3 linked regions of the Drosophila melanogaster genome follow. The protein of the gene in region 1 interacts with the protein of each later gene in a biochemical or structural test. Each region holds a gene or a part of one and is shown in the gene's direction. Other genes may lie near its edges. The genes, in order: Rm62, MEP-1 and Fmr1.

Evidence for each region.
Region 2: the proteins of Rm62 (region 1) and MEP-1 form a complex in vitro, tested with the Drosophila melanogaster proteins (one study listed by BioGRID).
Region 3: the proteins of Rm62 (region 1) and Fmr1 form a complex in vitro, tested with the Drosophila melanogaster proteins (one study listed by BioGRID).

The regions. Positions count from the first base shown.
Region 1 is NT_033777.3:6,005,442-6,010,552, reverse strand, and holds the start of Rm62 (Rm62), read left to right. Parts: upstream 1-1,979; 5' UTR 1,980-2,082; coding exon 2,083-2,516; intron 2,517-2,824; exon of another isoform or gene 2,825-3,107; intron 3,108-4,438; exon of another isoform or gene 4,439-4,592; coding exon of another isoform or gene 4,593-4,603; intron 4,604-5,111. UniProt on the Drosophila melanogaster protein: As an RNA helicase, unwinds RNA and alters RNA structures through ATP binding and hydrolysis. Involved in multiple cellular processes, including pre-mRNA splicing, alternative splicing, rRNA processing and miRNA processing, as well as transcription regulation.
Region 2 is NT_037436.4:2,629,711-2,634,795, forward strand, and holds the start of MEP-1 (MEP-1), read left to right. Parts: upstream 1-2,004; 5' UTR 2,005-2,101; coding exon of another isoform or gene 2,102-2,206; exon of another isoform or gene 2,207-2,266; coding exon of another isoform or gene 2,267-2,411; intron 2,412-2,564; exon of another isoform or gene 2,565-2,756; intron 2,757-3,827; coding exon of another isoform or gene 3,828-4,033; 5' UTR 4,034-4,099; intron 4,100-5,085. Other genes in the region: CG42245 (uncharacterized protein), read left to right, coding at 2,102-2,206, 2,267-2,411, 3,828-4,033.
Region 3 is NT_033777.3:10,107,031-10,112,138, reverse strand, and holds the start of Fmr1 (fragile X messenger ribonucleoprotein 1), read left to right. Parts: upstream 1-2,017; 5' UTR 2,018-2,323; intron 2,324-2,530; exon of another isoform or gene 2,531-2,615; intron 2,616-2,915; exon of another isoform or gene 2,916-3,067; 5' UTR 3,068-3,163; intron 3,164-3,227; 5' UTR 3,228-3,249; coding exon 3,250-3,444; intron 3,445-3,796; exon of another isoform or gene 3,797-3,909; intron 3,910-4,659; coding exon 4,660-4,709; intron 4,710-5,108. UniProt on the Drosophila melanogaster protein: Polyribosome-associated RNA-binding protein that plays a role in neuronal development and synaptic plasticity through the regulation of protein synthesis of mRNAs.

The DNA.
Region 1 (5,111 bases):
GGATATTTGTTATGAATCACATTGATTTGATATTTAATAAACTTTAATAAAATAATGCGTAGACCCTTATACATATTCATTCTTGGCTGACCCACCCACCAAACTAACTAAACATATCCATTACTTGCAGGTCCGGGTATACTAGGTTCAATTATGAAAATTTAAGAGATAGATAGAAATGTGTGGGCATGCATACGAATTTTCTTGATCACTAAAAGGTTTGATCTTGCCACATGCGCAAGTGTCATAGAAATATTTTGCTTAACTTAGCAGAGATAGACGTGGTTTAAAGTATTGCCATCTCATATGCACCTGTATAACACTGCTAGATAAAGCAGTGCCTTTACTGCTTGCTAATGCGGTCACTTGGTGATCACACTTATATATTTCCATACCCCAAAGGAGGATAAAATTATAACATACCTGAGAACACCCGGGATCTTTAGTCATCTTTGCAACATGCTTCGTATAAAAACGAAATTGAATATAATCTGTTTTTATTGTTAACTTCACTAAAATAGTTCGTAATGCAATTAGATATATTTATTTATAAAATTATTAATAAGAAACGTATTACTTACCGGTTTTTCATATTTCACTTTAAGAAATTGAGCAAAATCCACTTGACACGTTCTACAATCAAATGCAAATTCAGTGTTCGAAACTTTGCTAGAAGAAGGCTGTAACATTTATTCTTGTATTTTTGAACACTCCCAAGGAAAAGTGCGGCAGGGAATTTTAGTACTGAAGAAGGACATATGAACTGGATGTTTGGGTGGCTACGTGTTATCTGCTATTTTTGTCTTTATCAATTGATTTGTTAAAAATGTCACACAGCAACTCCACCTTTTGGAGAGGGTTCTCTCCGAATTTTAAAACCGATTGACCATGGCCTTTACAGTACAATTACGATATACGATAGTTCGTGGTAAGATATTTAAATAAAGTACAGTGAGGTAGTTGGTAAATTTGTAAGAGCTTACAGATACTCATTTTCATTAAAGTGCCGTAAATTTCAATTTTTGGCATTTTGAAAAATAAGTGCATTCTTTACTGGTGTTAATATATGTGGCTACTTAATCCTCCATAGATGCCATTTTATTTTCCAGCATAATATCTATATTTAGCTATTTCCAATCATAACTATGATTCTTTCAATTTAATTCGCTAAAACTCGAGTGAAATTTTCGATTTCTTTCAGACTCATTTTTTAGATGTAAGCAATAAAATTATGTGTAAATTATAAGATTTCTTTAATAAGTATTACTTTTTATAGACTTGAAATGGTCAACAAGCAAGTTCTATGAAATTTTGAAATTAATGATGAAAATTCTGTGTGTTGTACAATATTATATTTTCTTATAAATAATAGGATATATTTTTCCTTTCAGAATATTGAGCCAACCTTATTTTAATTCTTTAAAATATTAGTAAAAATGATGCGAGATTTGCGCTTTTGGTAGATTTCAAAAAATTTGTATTAATTGAAAATGTTAAATAAACCACAAATGGGGTGAGTCTTTGCTAAATGCTCAACACAGAAAGTTGTTTTATGCTTATATTTGTTAAGGTATATTTACTAATCTCCGCACAGACTACGTTTTGGTAGGCTAGGAAATTTAAGACATTTCCGAATATTAGGAGTACGGACCGACGACGAGATACATTTAAAGTTCGTTTCAGCAGAATCTTAAATATTAAAAACTTAGCGGGCAAGTAAATACACCGCGTTCAGCTGATTATCGATAGCTAGGAAATTTAAGACATTTCCGAATATTAGGAGTACGGACCGACGACGAGATATATTTAAAGTTCGTTTCAGCAGAATCTTAAATATTAAAAACTTAGCGGGCAAGTAAATACACCGCGTTCAGCTGATTATCGATAGCAACCAGGTGGTCACTCTAATAGACGTTTTCATGCGAGCCCGCTGCGGTCACACCAACTTCTCGACCGATTTTTCCCCTCCATCTAGGGTCACTCTAATTTTGGACGAGGTTAGGTAAGACACGCGCGGATGCCGCGCTGCGTAGGATAAATCCGTCATTAGCATAACCGCATTGAAGCTAAGTCTTCGGGAAAATGCTTAAGCTTGTGCAATACATAGCCCCCCGGGTGGGCGGCGCCACGCCCCGACCGACTGCCTGCGGCTGGGGCAACTTGCTATTGATTTCCCCGAGAAGTGGCGCGAGCTCCGAGAAATGTATAACGCAACGTCGCCATTTTCTTTTCTCCTCCGCCAGCAGCAGCGGCACTTTCGCTTCTTCTTCTTCGCTCTGCACCGAACAACGACAACAGTTCCACGGGAGTCGCAGGAATCGTGAGACAATACTGTTCCCAAGCACATATAGTAGTCTCCAAGCTCAGTCGCAGCGTGCGTTTCGAGACAGCTCGAAACCAGATTCAGACGACTACGTAGATTCCATCCCGAAAGCAGAGCAGCGGACGAGGACGAGGAAATCGCTTTTCAACGATCCCGACGAAAGAACTGAGGAAATCAAAATTGAAGGAGTAATGTGAGTACGCCGCAAGATTTCATATGAAATGCGTTGGTTTTTTCCACTCACTGTCGCCATTTTATCACCCTTCGTGCCATTCCTCTTTTTTTTTTTTTTTTTCTGTACACCTACGAAGCGAGGTGATGAGTAATTAGTGTGAGCGAAAGAGAGAGTTTGGGGAGAGAGAGAAAAACACATGGTTTGCTAAATTTTGTCAGTCGGAGGTGAGGTTTTCAGCCATTTGTTGTTTTTTTCTTTGTGTTTGCCCCCGCACATCCGCAAAGGAGTAGCAAAAGCAACAAGAACGACAGCGCACGTCATAAAAAGAATTTGCCTGATTTGTGAAACGTGTTCTTGCTTCGTTTGCTATTTTATAGCGTTTTAATTTGTCTGTATGCCCCGAACATGAACACGCGCACTCACACAGCGGCACATACGGACTTGCTTGTATGCGTGAATGCCTGTTGACGGCGGCATTTTCTCGTGCTCGTAGAACAGTTCGAACAGTGTGTGCGAGCGTATAACAGTCGGCGGCTGTCACTGACTAGCGCCGTCCTGCTCACTCGCCAGCATGCCTTTCCATCACATTCTTTCCATGGCTCACACGAGGTTTTGTAGAGATATCGCGATGTTTTTGGTATTGGCAATTTTATAATTTGATGTAACCATCCCGACATAGATTTATACTTACTATGCTTAATTTGGGAAGTGAATGGGGTTAATGGTTTGCTTCGTTTGGTTATCTAATGCGTACATTGAAATATATAATTTCAGTATAATTCTGTATACTGAGGACAATTTTAGGGAAAAGTAGGGTTATTCTCTTAAAATTTTCTCTACACTATAAGTAAAGGTTCCATGCAAACACATTTAACTTACAGATTATCAAAAATGCATTTTATCGATCATTTTATCTATTTTGCTACGCTCTTTTTGTGTTTACTTATCATGAACCATGCTTGTTATGCAATAAAAATTATTTATTAGAAAGTTATACTATAGTATTGATAAAAACTCAAGTAACAACCAAATATTAAATGGTAATAGTAACCCAGTTCGTGAACTACGCCATCACATAAACGGCCCCATTAGTCTAAAATGTCAAATGACGCCAATTGATTATGAGCTCCCCCTTTGGCGAGCGCGCGATTCGTCTTTTCGCATGTCAAAAAGCGACAGGTAGACACACAGAAAGTCAAAGGTGCCCCCAGGGACTGTCCCCTCCTCCCCTCGGGTGTTTGCCCACCGTTGAAACTAGGGGCAAGACATTTGGCTGTCTCATAAATGTTCAGAGCGTTCCGCTTCGCTAGTTGGGCACAAACGTTAGCGTGCCAGTGGGTCCTACAAATAGACGTTTAGGGCGGTACGGTGTTCCAAATTGACAGAGTAATAGACAAAAAAAAACGTGGGCCTGGATCGTGGGTGATTTGCATGGTGCACCCCATAGTGATGCCCACTAGGATCACGAAAATGGAGCTTACATACGAAGTAAAGCGAATATAAAGTGGAAATTTATAGAAGTTAGTTCGTAACACAATAAACATAATTTATGTTGTAAATTTTGTTTTATACAACTTTACCATCCAACTTAATCTTGCACTATATTTATTACCACATTGTATATACACTCCGCAGAGTTAATATTATTTTTCCCTAATTATTGCAAAGTGCTAACATATATAGGTCGGTACCTTCGCCAGTTCTGACTGGAACTAGAACTGCGCCAGGTTGATTAATGCCAGAGCAATAAACGCAGGGCTTTGTACATGGGGCTGTTTAGTTTAGTTGAGCATTTAGGGGCTGATAAACTGGGGTGAAAAATTGGTGGGAGGGTGGGCTGTGAATAGAAACCCTGCTCGAATTGCATGTTGTTGTCAATCAAATTTGCCTTACTGTTTGCATTATTCGAAATTTATTTAATTTCCCTAACACGCAATTAGTTTTTATTTAAGTTTATTGCGGTTGTAGCACAGCACAACTCCCATGTCAGCTGTTTAGCAGCGTCGAAAGAAATCGAAAAGCGAAGACTTACCTTCCAAGCCAAGTCGCAGTTGAAATCCAAGTCCCAACTGGCAGACGTCTAGAAACGGCAGCATGCGAGCAAAGTAAGCCAAGTCACTCGTTTCTTTTTTTCCTCAATTTTCTGTCAAAGAAATACTTAAGAAAAGAAAGTGCAGCTGTCTACGCCGAGCCGGAAAAAATGATTCCAGTTAAGCATGGTTTAATTCTCGAAGGTCCCTTTTATCAAGGGAAAATTTATGACACACAGTTTCTGGGTAATGTGTGTGCAGCGCAAAATTATTTTAGATGGCAGATAAGGAGGAATTGATTATACAAATGTACAACGCGAAATTAAAAAGTTTGTGAGAAAACTATCAAACTATATCAACTTCAGCGAAATTCGGTTACAAAGCTCAAAGTGGGATATTTTCTTAAAGATTCCACTGAATTCACGGCAGCGAAATAACAAGTCGTGAAGTCGTTCAATTTCCATGAATAAGGAAAAGGCCCTTGATACTTGACACTAAGTAAACTTCGGCAATGCAAGATAAGCATATTAGAATTAAATTACTTTAATCTCATTTGCCTTTACCAAAGCCAATTACCATCGCA
Region 2 (5,085 bases), on another chromosome or scaffold:
TTTTTAGTAATCCAATCTATTTCCTATCTAATTCCAAAGGGAATATTTAAAAAATTCTTTTTTTCTTCAATACTATCTTGGATTTTACAAATTTGTTCATTTGTTTTCCAACACTATTGTTTTGGGCATTAGACAACTATTTTTTTTATTTTAACAAATATTTTCTTCCTATTTCTGGTCCTCGCTTTGCTAAGCAAAATTACCGAATTACTAGCGATTCGAGCGATAGTTTTCTCTCAGTGCCTCCGCGAAATGTTTAATTTTAGAACGATATTCCGCTATTAAACGAGTCCGGGCAATTTTCGACCGAGTGAACTGAACTGAACTGCACGCGCCAAATGCCGACTAGCATCTGAGCGCCGAGGAGCAGAGACTGTAAAGCGGAATTTGAACCGAATCGCCGAGTTGCACTTCGGCAGAGGCGGAGGACTCCGTGCCGGATGCAGACTGTGATAACATTTTCCTGAGGCTCTGCGTTCTCAAGAGTGCTCGATATTAGTTGGCCGGCATGTGACTTGAAGCCTATGGATTCTGAATGGGACGGTCGGATGGATGACTCTATATCCAGCATATAGCATCGTATCCGTATCAAGGCCGAAACACTTGTGTTGCACCGGCATTTTCAATGTATTTTCAATGCGGACGCAAAGCGAGCAAAACAAAACACAACAAGCATACGCCACGTTGCACTTGCACAGCATCAAATGCCCTGCCATCCTCATTTTTAATGCATGAGGGGGTGCTCCCTCCACCCGGCCACACTCCATTTGTTTTTCCAACCATCGCTGTGGATTGCGTAGCGATTGGGGGCTGCAGCTCCGAAACTGTTCGCTTAAGCGGTCGGTGATAAGACGCGAAATCAAATTTAAAAGCTATCAATTTGATATTAGTTCGGGGACCGACGAAAATCCTTCGGGGGAAAAGCTGCTGCCGCGTGCCAGAATGCAGAAATCGGAGTTTTTCATGGGGAATTCGTTCACGGAAAAACAAAAGGAATATATTTGAAATATAAATTTATGTTTTATTGTCATATTTTTCACTGGATATGACACTAATTTAATTCTTCTCTATCTGTCAGTCTACAGATATTTGTTTGGGTTTATGCAAAAAAAAAACCAAAAAAAAAAAACTTTTGTTTAGCTCCTCTCACGTATTTTATTTATAACTAAACTAAATATATGAAACGCTGTTTTCTCAGTGCATCCTATTTGTGTTTTTGCCAACATATGCTGCAGCTCATAAAATTTCTCCGCTTTGCTGCAGTTTTCATTTGCCTTTTTTTTTCGGCAGCTCTTTTTTGGTTAGCTGTCGAAGTTTTGAAATCAATTTGCAGATGATTTATTATGTTCCCAGGAACGAATAGGGGGCTTCAATCGAGGAGGAGTCTGTGCATACGACATTGCAAATGGAAGCCACTGACGTTGATGAATGCCGCTGTGTATTGTTTTGCTGTCAGAAGCGATCAAATTTCTGTTTTGGAGCACGGAATTCCAGGTGAAGCGGAAAATTTGCAAGTTATGCGACAGTTTTATGCGCCCATTTTTTGATTGGCAGCGAGGATTCGCAAATTGATGGCACGTCTCGGGGCAATCGGTTTTCTCAGCGGAAATGCCAGTTGGAAATGGGAACTTAAGATACTTAAAGAAATGCATCAAAAATAATAGGATAAATATTATATATTTATAGAAATTTTTAAGAAATATTAACTCTTTATCAACAGTAAGCATTTTCAAAAAGTAACCGCTTTTGCCTAACAGTGCTGCCCATCTACAATTGGTTTTCAGGCAGCACTATGCACACGGCAGTACAGCTGTTACTTATCGGTGCTATCGATAAATATCAAGGACTCAAAAATTGGGACTAATAATATTAAAAGAGCAAGCTTAAACTTTAACATTATAACTATTAAAACTGGATTTACAATTGTCTTACGTTACTTTAAAGTATAGCAGTTGAAATCGATTTAGTATTGTCAACGCGCGCTTTCCCACACTGCTCGATAAGCATATGTTTTTCTTATCGACATTTGTGGTAAATAAAAAGTGCAAAAACCGCTGCTAAATCGGTCAAGAAGTGCAATGATATAGCCGCCATATCTGATATGTCCAAGCGCAACATAACGTACGTAAAGCCGCAAGAACCTAGTTTTCTGGCCAAGTTGAAGGCTGAAATTGGCTACAAGGAGGGACCCACCGTAGAGACCAAGGTGAGTTCTACGGGGAAGGCCTCTGCAGCATTCTAATGCGGATATATAACCATTGGTTAGCGTCAGCGATTGGATCCGCAGGACCAGGAGGACTACGATTCTGAGGAAGATTCACGGGAGGACGAACAGCCGCAGGTGGTCGTCCTTAGGCCGGGAGATCTATCCGCCGAAGAGGCCAAAACGGAGAAACTGTTGGCCTCCAAAGGTCGGTACATATGTACAAGCATACATACATACATATCGCTGTAGTACATACATACTTACACGCTCGCACACGCACACACACATGCATATAGCCCACGGTGGCGGCGGCGGCAGTTGCACGTGTGTGCGTAGGTAGGATGTTGTAGTTTGTCTTTCAGTTTAACTTTTCAGTCAGAATCGAGCGGTTGTCTTCTTCTGCCCGGCGTTACATATATCTAAATCATATATGTATATATACATAACTGCGTATATACCGTTGCTTATGTATGAGTGCGCGCGTGTGCTTGTGCATTTTTGCCAAATGAAAATCTAACGGTAGTGCGAAAACAGCAGTTTGTTGCAAGAAGTATGTGTTTTTTTTTTCGAAAAGCACCTTCGGTTTTTCAATCTTTTTAAAGCCCTATGTTGCCATGGCAATCTTGGTCATTTCCGTCCTAAAGATTCCCTTTTTTGCCCAGCGGAGCACCCCTCACACAGACACACACACCCGCAGCAGCTAGCCGACGAGGCATACACACTGACATTTTCATTGGGGGCTCCGCCAAAGCAGAGCATGTGATGAAAATCGTTGGCAAAGCGGGCGCGGCGATAAAGCAGCCGGCAAAGAAGTTAACAACAGCAGCTGCCGCCGCTCGCTTTGTCCGCCTCTTCCGCTCGCCCCCCTGCCCCTTTCAGCCCCACTTGGAAGAGCGCAGAAAATCGGGTGAAAACAACGTGTGCAAGAACGAACGGATGAAGGAGGCGGGCAAAGCGGAGAGACAATGATGAACGAAGCAGGCGAGCAAAGAGGAAAAGAGCGGGCCAAAGTGGCTTGACGACGTGGTGGCGGTGGCAAAGGCGCTGCGGGGAGGGGGTAGGCGTTGAAGAAGGGGCTGGCGGAACAGCGGGGGCGGGTTGCGAATCAGTGGGTGGAGCGGGAGGGGGAGTGAAGCGGGAGCGTCGGGCGAGAAGGGGCTTCCCAGGGCCGAGAAAAACATCTTGTGGGTGCTGCTTGGAAAAGGGGGGGGTCGGTGGGTGGCTTGTTCTGATTTACACCTCCCTCCTCCCCATTTGTCATGCTGCAGTTTTTAAAACCCAGATACATTTTCCAATCCAATAATGAATTGCTGGCATATTAGTCACCTTCCTGGCAATTTTATAAGCAGATCAATTTTCAAAAACTTTCTTGTATTCCTTTTAGTTAATGCAATTTTTAAATTTATTTTATTTATATCAGCTTTGATATATGTATTGGCATTTTTCTCCCTAAATTTGTGCATACTACTTTCCCCAAAATATTTTTCATTCTAAGATAGTTTATATAACTTAAATACTCCATTTAACTTGTAAATAGGTGTTTACTTACACGCTTTACTACGATCATAATAAGTACAGATGATTGCTGACCCATAACTAACTCCCATTTTCAATCTTCCAGAATTAGCCGAAAAGCGAGCGGATCTGACGCAGCCAATAGTCTTCAAACACTGTGTCAAGCAGCCCAACATCGAGAAAAAAGAGTCCCAATCTGAAACCAACAAGAAGTCCGAAAAATCCAGCACATCCAAGAGCAAGAAGTCCAAGGCCGCCAGTAGTAAGCTGTCCTTCAACGAGGACGAGGAGGACGAGACTGCCGAGGATTGAAGATCACACCTTAGTTATCTGGCTATAAGTTGAACCAACCAAGTTAACCTGCAGCGAATGATTAAGGTGAGAAATTCAGGTCAAAAACAGCAAATGATTGTTAACTATGCTTTGTATTTCTTTGTTGCCATGTGAATTTATGAGTTTAATAATGGGGTTTCCATATGTATGTGTTAAAATCCAACTCGCAATGACGCTGTCATCATAGATTGTAGATTTTTCACCAAAGAACTAAACTGTATACTCAAGTTGATATGATATAGTATATATTTGAGTTTTTGCATTAAACATATGCATGTATTGCTGATTTATTGTTATTTAGAAATGAATCATTGAGATTAGATCATGGTTTTGACACGTCGATCGTAAAAATAATTATAGAATTCTTTAAAGATCCCTTAGATTCCTACAACATGATTTTTTCCTAAAGCTTTTCCAAATTTATGTTTTTTAAATAAGTGTTACACGTTTTAAGTAAATTATTAGCATACTAATTATATTTATTATTATCACGTAATGTACTTTACGTGAATCATACTACTTGGAAAAATATTAGTGACTCAAAACCGAATATTTGTGGTGAAATTTTATGTTATTTTCTTCTTTTTTTTAATGTATCTAATGTTACATTTTTCCATTTCAATTGTGAGTTCTTAGTTGGGTTTGATATTCAATCCCAATACAGATTGATCTTAAATCTTGATCAAAGTCCGAAATCTGCTAGAGAAAGTCCTCGGACAACAGGATTATCTAAACTCTGATACCTAATATCTTATAATTTAATCACTTGATTAGAAGAAATGTGGTAAAGTCCTTTTTGATACATGCGATCAATCTCTTAAATTAGTATCTTGTATCTTTACTTTCGATTCAATTGACTTCACCTCTAAGATATTAAGACCCAACTGCCACAGTAATTTCCGCTTAACTTTGTAAATTTGCACTGGAAAATATGAATTGGCTAATTTACTCGATATCGAAAAGGGTCACGTGTATGTATAACATAAAGTTGGGGTTTGGGTTTGAGTTCGGGGTCTTTAATGATGATGGCG
Region 3 (5,108 bases), 4.1 Mb from region 1:
TGTACACCGAGGAAAAAAAGTGCGTTCGAAGAAATGATGGAAAAATTATAAAATTAATATAAATGAAATTTTATTACCCCAATTTTTCATATTTAACACGAGGCAGTTATTAGTTATGATATGTTTATTCTGCTATTTAAAGGTATTAAAATATACACTGTTTTTGCACTTGGACTTAGAAATAATTAGCAAGGGAATGATACTACCTGGTTTTTTAGAAGGATGATCTCATCTTTTTTAACCATTAAACAAAAGAAAAAATAAATTTAACTTTCGTATTAAGGGTATTGTTGCTCAGAATTTGCTCCAGCAATTTGAGAATGACTAAACTTATTGAATTTTATTTCTATTAATATTCACACTTATGCGCGAATTCTTTATGTTACTATAATTACAAATGCAGTGAACACCTTTTATAAGGAATGTATTATCTTATTTATTATTGAAAAATTTACTTGCCCGAATATTCCTCGCAGTGTATTTTACGTCGAGAGGAAGTGACGTACCTGTCACGATCGAGATTGTCACATTTTGGCAAATAAATTTCACTTGATCCCTCCACGCGGTTAAAATTAGAATTTAAATTAATTTAGTGCCCGAAGTGACCAATTGTTGCACTGCAATTGCACCCGAACCGAATCGTTTCAAATCCGATCGCGAAACGAACATAATGCTAATTGAGCGGGACAAATTCTGGGGTGCGAGCGAGATGGCTAGATGCGAGAGGAGGAGGGGCTGTCGTCGCTGAACTTTCGCTCTTTTGTTGGCCATGTCGACGTCATTAAAGTGCAGTTAATGTGCCAAAAGGTAGAACAAAAGTCAATGTCAAACGGCAGCTGCTCTCATTTTCCTCGGCAGTGGAAAAGCGGTTGAAATAGGGGTGGTTAACTGGTGGGCAAGGGCGCGGGAAAATCAAATCAGAAACTGCATTTCCGCAACAAATCGCCGCTTGACAGTAATTACCGTCAACACGAGCGGTAATTTATGACTATCGAATTGCGAATCTTGATACCCTGTATGGAAAATTGTTATGGGATTTTAACGGAATCTGCCTGCAAATAGGCTGGGAAATGCGAAAATGGCGAGTAGAGGGTATTGCCTTTGCACAGAGACACAGAATTTCCAACTATTCACAGGCATATAAAGGATTTAATGGTTCCCATTAACTGACTGGCCATGAATTTTTATAATTTGTTGGCCCATTTTCACCACACAAATGCCTAAATGGCATGCGATTTAAATACAGGCGAGCTTTTAGACTTGCCCACTTATTAATCAAGAGTAAAGTTCACAAATATAATTCATAAATCTTATTAAGTAGTTCCAAGCAAATATGTGGTTTCATCCTAAATGGAGTACTCCGTCAGATTTCTGCTGTCCGATCCGCTGAAAATTGATGGAAATTGGATTACAAATAGACCGCACTGCACCTTTATCGGCCACTCATAATCAAATGCGTTTCATGAATGGAAGGGCAAAATAAGAAAAAAAAAATAGTAAAAAGCAAATTCAACAAGCGTGTTGACAAAAAGCGCCAGCGACGTCACGCGATTTGGGGGCAATCAAAGGGGCAAATAAAACACCGCATGTGGCAAATTGCGCCCACTGTTGACCCCAGCAGTCGTTGCAATTACATAGACAATTACATTAACATTAAGGCGTAGTGGTCAGCAGTTCTGCAAATTAAAATCGAATCGAATCAATTGAAAAGCCACCAAACATGCGAATCAATCTGCTGATGGGCTAGCAATTCAATTACGTTGTTAGCAGACAGCAAACTAAGTGAGCAGTCAATAGTGTTCGGTTCGTCGACTTCATTTAAATTTTAAATGATCTTATCAGCTTTTTGAATTTCGAATCGTAACCGCCTAGCGCGCTTAAAATACAACCCTGTTTATTGTGAACCCACAACTTATAGTCACTCTGGCAAGGCCCGGTGAGCTGTCACTTAGCAGCCTTGCCACTTTACTGTCAGATCATTTTTCTCTCGCTTTCAAACAAGCCCTGTGTTATAGAGCACAAATCATTTATCAAAAATTTCGTATCTTATTTTCACAAATTTATCGCTTGGGCCAAACACGCCCGAAATCTAGCCAAAACCATCCGAAGTGGCCAGTAACGCGCGCCGATTGTAAACGGGTGGCAACTCCAGTAGAACGTTGCCGAGCTGCGAAAGTGTGCAAAAGCAAAACGAAGAGAACGCAGCGCAGCCGAAAAAAATTGAAGCAGCACTGCACGCGATATATTTTGTATTTTCAAAGGTTAAAGCCGCATTCACAGGCATCCGCCGAGGGCAAACGAAGTGCAAAAGTGCCGGCCAGCAGTAAGTTTTCAAAAATTTGCAGTCTCTTGTGTATTACAGCCGCAAAAAGTGTTGAAAAAATTTTGCAAGAACCGAAAAAAACCAAAAAATTTTGCACATCGTCGGCGGCTGCGACGTCGACGACAGCAGCGACGCCGCCTCTCTGCCGGCAGCGGCAGCAAAAGGGAGCAGCTGAAAGAGGAAAACCGATAAAATACAAAAAGAAAAGTAGAGAACGAGAACGAGAAAAACGGCGAGCGGCTACGCAACGCTGATGTTTCTTCTCTTTGAGAAAAGCGAAAATCGAAAGCAAGTGTGGAAATTATGTGTAAATTCGATATGTAAATTCGGCATGTGCCGTTCGTAGTGTGCGTACAAATTCTTATTGGAAAAGCGTGTTCATCGGTGTGAACGAACGAACGAAGCATTTCGGCGGCGAGAGAGAGAGAAAAAGAGAGCGAGAGCGCACACGCTTGGTGGTGGTCATGTGTGTGTGAGGCGGCGGGCTCACACACACAAAGGGAGAGAGACAAAGAAGAAGAGGAAGCACTGCGCTGCTGCGCTGCCGGCAAAGCCGACGTCGCTGCCGGCTTCGCCGCCAGCTGCATTTAGTGTTTAGCTAGGAATTATCTGGCCCCCAAAATAACTTCAAAATTTTCTTCAACTATTTTTTTTATTAGTGTGTCAATATATAGTCTCCCTCTCCAGATACAAAAATTCAAAAATACCAAAAACAAAACCATTCCATATTATTATTGATTACAGGCAACATTTGAAGCAGCAGCCGCCAAGCAAAAGACTGATTTGAGTACAAGGAACTAGAAGCAGGAACGCGAGGTTTCTGCCACTGCACACTGAATTGTGAGCATACCCACCCATACCTAGCTATATCTATAGCCCTAATATCTCCATTCTTCCCCCTCAGGAGCCCCAGATAACGCGGCAAACTGCAGTCGACGGGGAAAAGTCGGGAGTTGAAGGCTGGGCAGCATCAGCATCAGCAGCAGGAGGGACAGGGACGGACGGCGAAGAACCACCAGAACCAGAACCAAAACAAAGCGGATAAACCAGGAGGCACTACGTCTGGCGATATGGAAGATCTCCTCGTGGAAGTTCGGCTCGACAATGGCGCCTACTACAAGGTGAGTTGATTCAATTGGTGGAATAAAAATGTTGGTAAGGGGGTGACAAAAAAAAAGAAGGAAAAACAGAGGAGCAAGGAGTTGGGGCAGCAGCTGCCTCAGTTTCTAATTTCGTGGATTTTAGCTTTATTTCTATTAATAAACAGCAACATTTTGAGTGGAGTCTCGACATCATCGCCACCACCACCACCACTACCACTACCACTACTACACTAATACCAGCACCATCGCCAATCTGCATACACCAACGCACTCACGCACACTGCGTTGTGGGGGTGCCGACGTCGACGTCGATGTCGATGTCGACGCGGACCGCGCCGCCCACTGCGCTGCCCACTGACGTCGTCGTGCATTCGGTTTTGTTGTTTTGATGATTTCCCTTTCTTGTCGTTGCAATTTATAAAGATAAGATCCGATTAAACCATCTTATATCGCGGTTAAGTGATTTTCGCGGATAGATTACAGGTATACGAGGTTGTTAGATCTCGAATCATTAGTCTTATGAACGAAGTTCAGTCTTAAATCCCATTCATAATGCTAGCTTTTGATGTGTTTTATTGTTCACTGTTTAAACAAATTCAGCAAAAATGTATGCTTATAGGCTTAAATTTTCCAATGATAATATAGACATTTTGGAAACCAGATAACAGTGCACTTAAGAATATTCTTATACTTTCAATTATTGTTCTTAGTACTTATCCCCATCATTAGCTAACCTATTCTGGAAACCTTCTGGATATGTATAGTAAGGTAGTGAATACTTTGCATAGCGTTGCCTTTGATTTCAGTGCTTGGAATCAAAACAAGGGCAATGCACATAAACACACTCGACTAGAGCGACTTCCCTGATGCTGATGATTCAGCTGTCGGCTGTTTGCATTTCGGATAAGGTTCTACGACTACTCGCTTATCGGAGATATACGGTTTCCCTCGCTAATGCCATTGCAATTCTCGATTTCACAATGGGACGGGATTGGGGGGACTATCGTAAAAATATATTTTATATACTTATGCATATACACACATCCGAATGGAGGTATATCATAGGCAATGGCCACATTAATGACACACATTTTTCTCTCTCTACTCCTATGCCTTCCGATGCTGGCCCTGTCAATGCTCTTGTATTTCATCCGTTTGCTGCCTGCCTGCCGCCAACAAAAAACTACAACTGCAAACTAAAAACTACGACGACGACGACAACAACAACAACAGGGCCAGGTGACAGCTGTCGCCGATGATGGCATCTTTGTGGATGTGGACGGGTAAGTTTGTTTAAACAAACAAATCTGCGAACAGGGCAAACAACAACAACTAGAGCGTATTTTCTAACTAATTTGCAACGATTAATACAATCAGAGCTGCAGCAGGAGCAGCAACAACCACCGACGCGACTTCTTGGCATCCGAATTAGAAATTAGAGATTCTGGGCACGCATCATTTGTGTCGTCCGCCATCCGCCAAACCACTTCCCGCCGAATCCCCTACTGCGGACTCACTAATTTGGCGCAATTTGTTAAACGCCAGACGCCGCTGCAGCAGTTTCTGTTGCTATTAGTTGATAAAAAAGAAAAAAAAAATGAGCCAAATCAAATAAAACTGCTGACTGACAGACTGACCAACGCCATCCGCAACTGTCCGCCCCACTGACTTGGGAAGTTCCC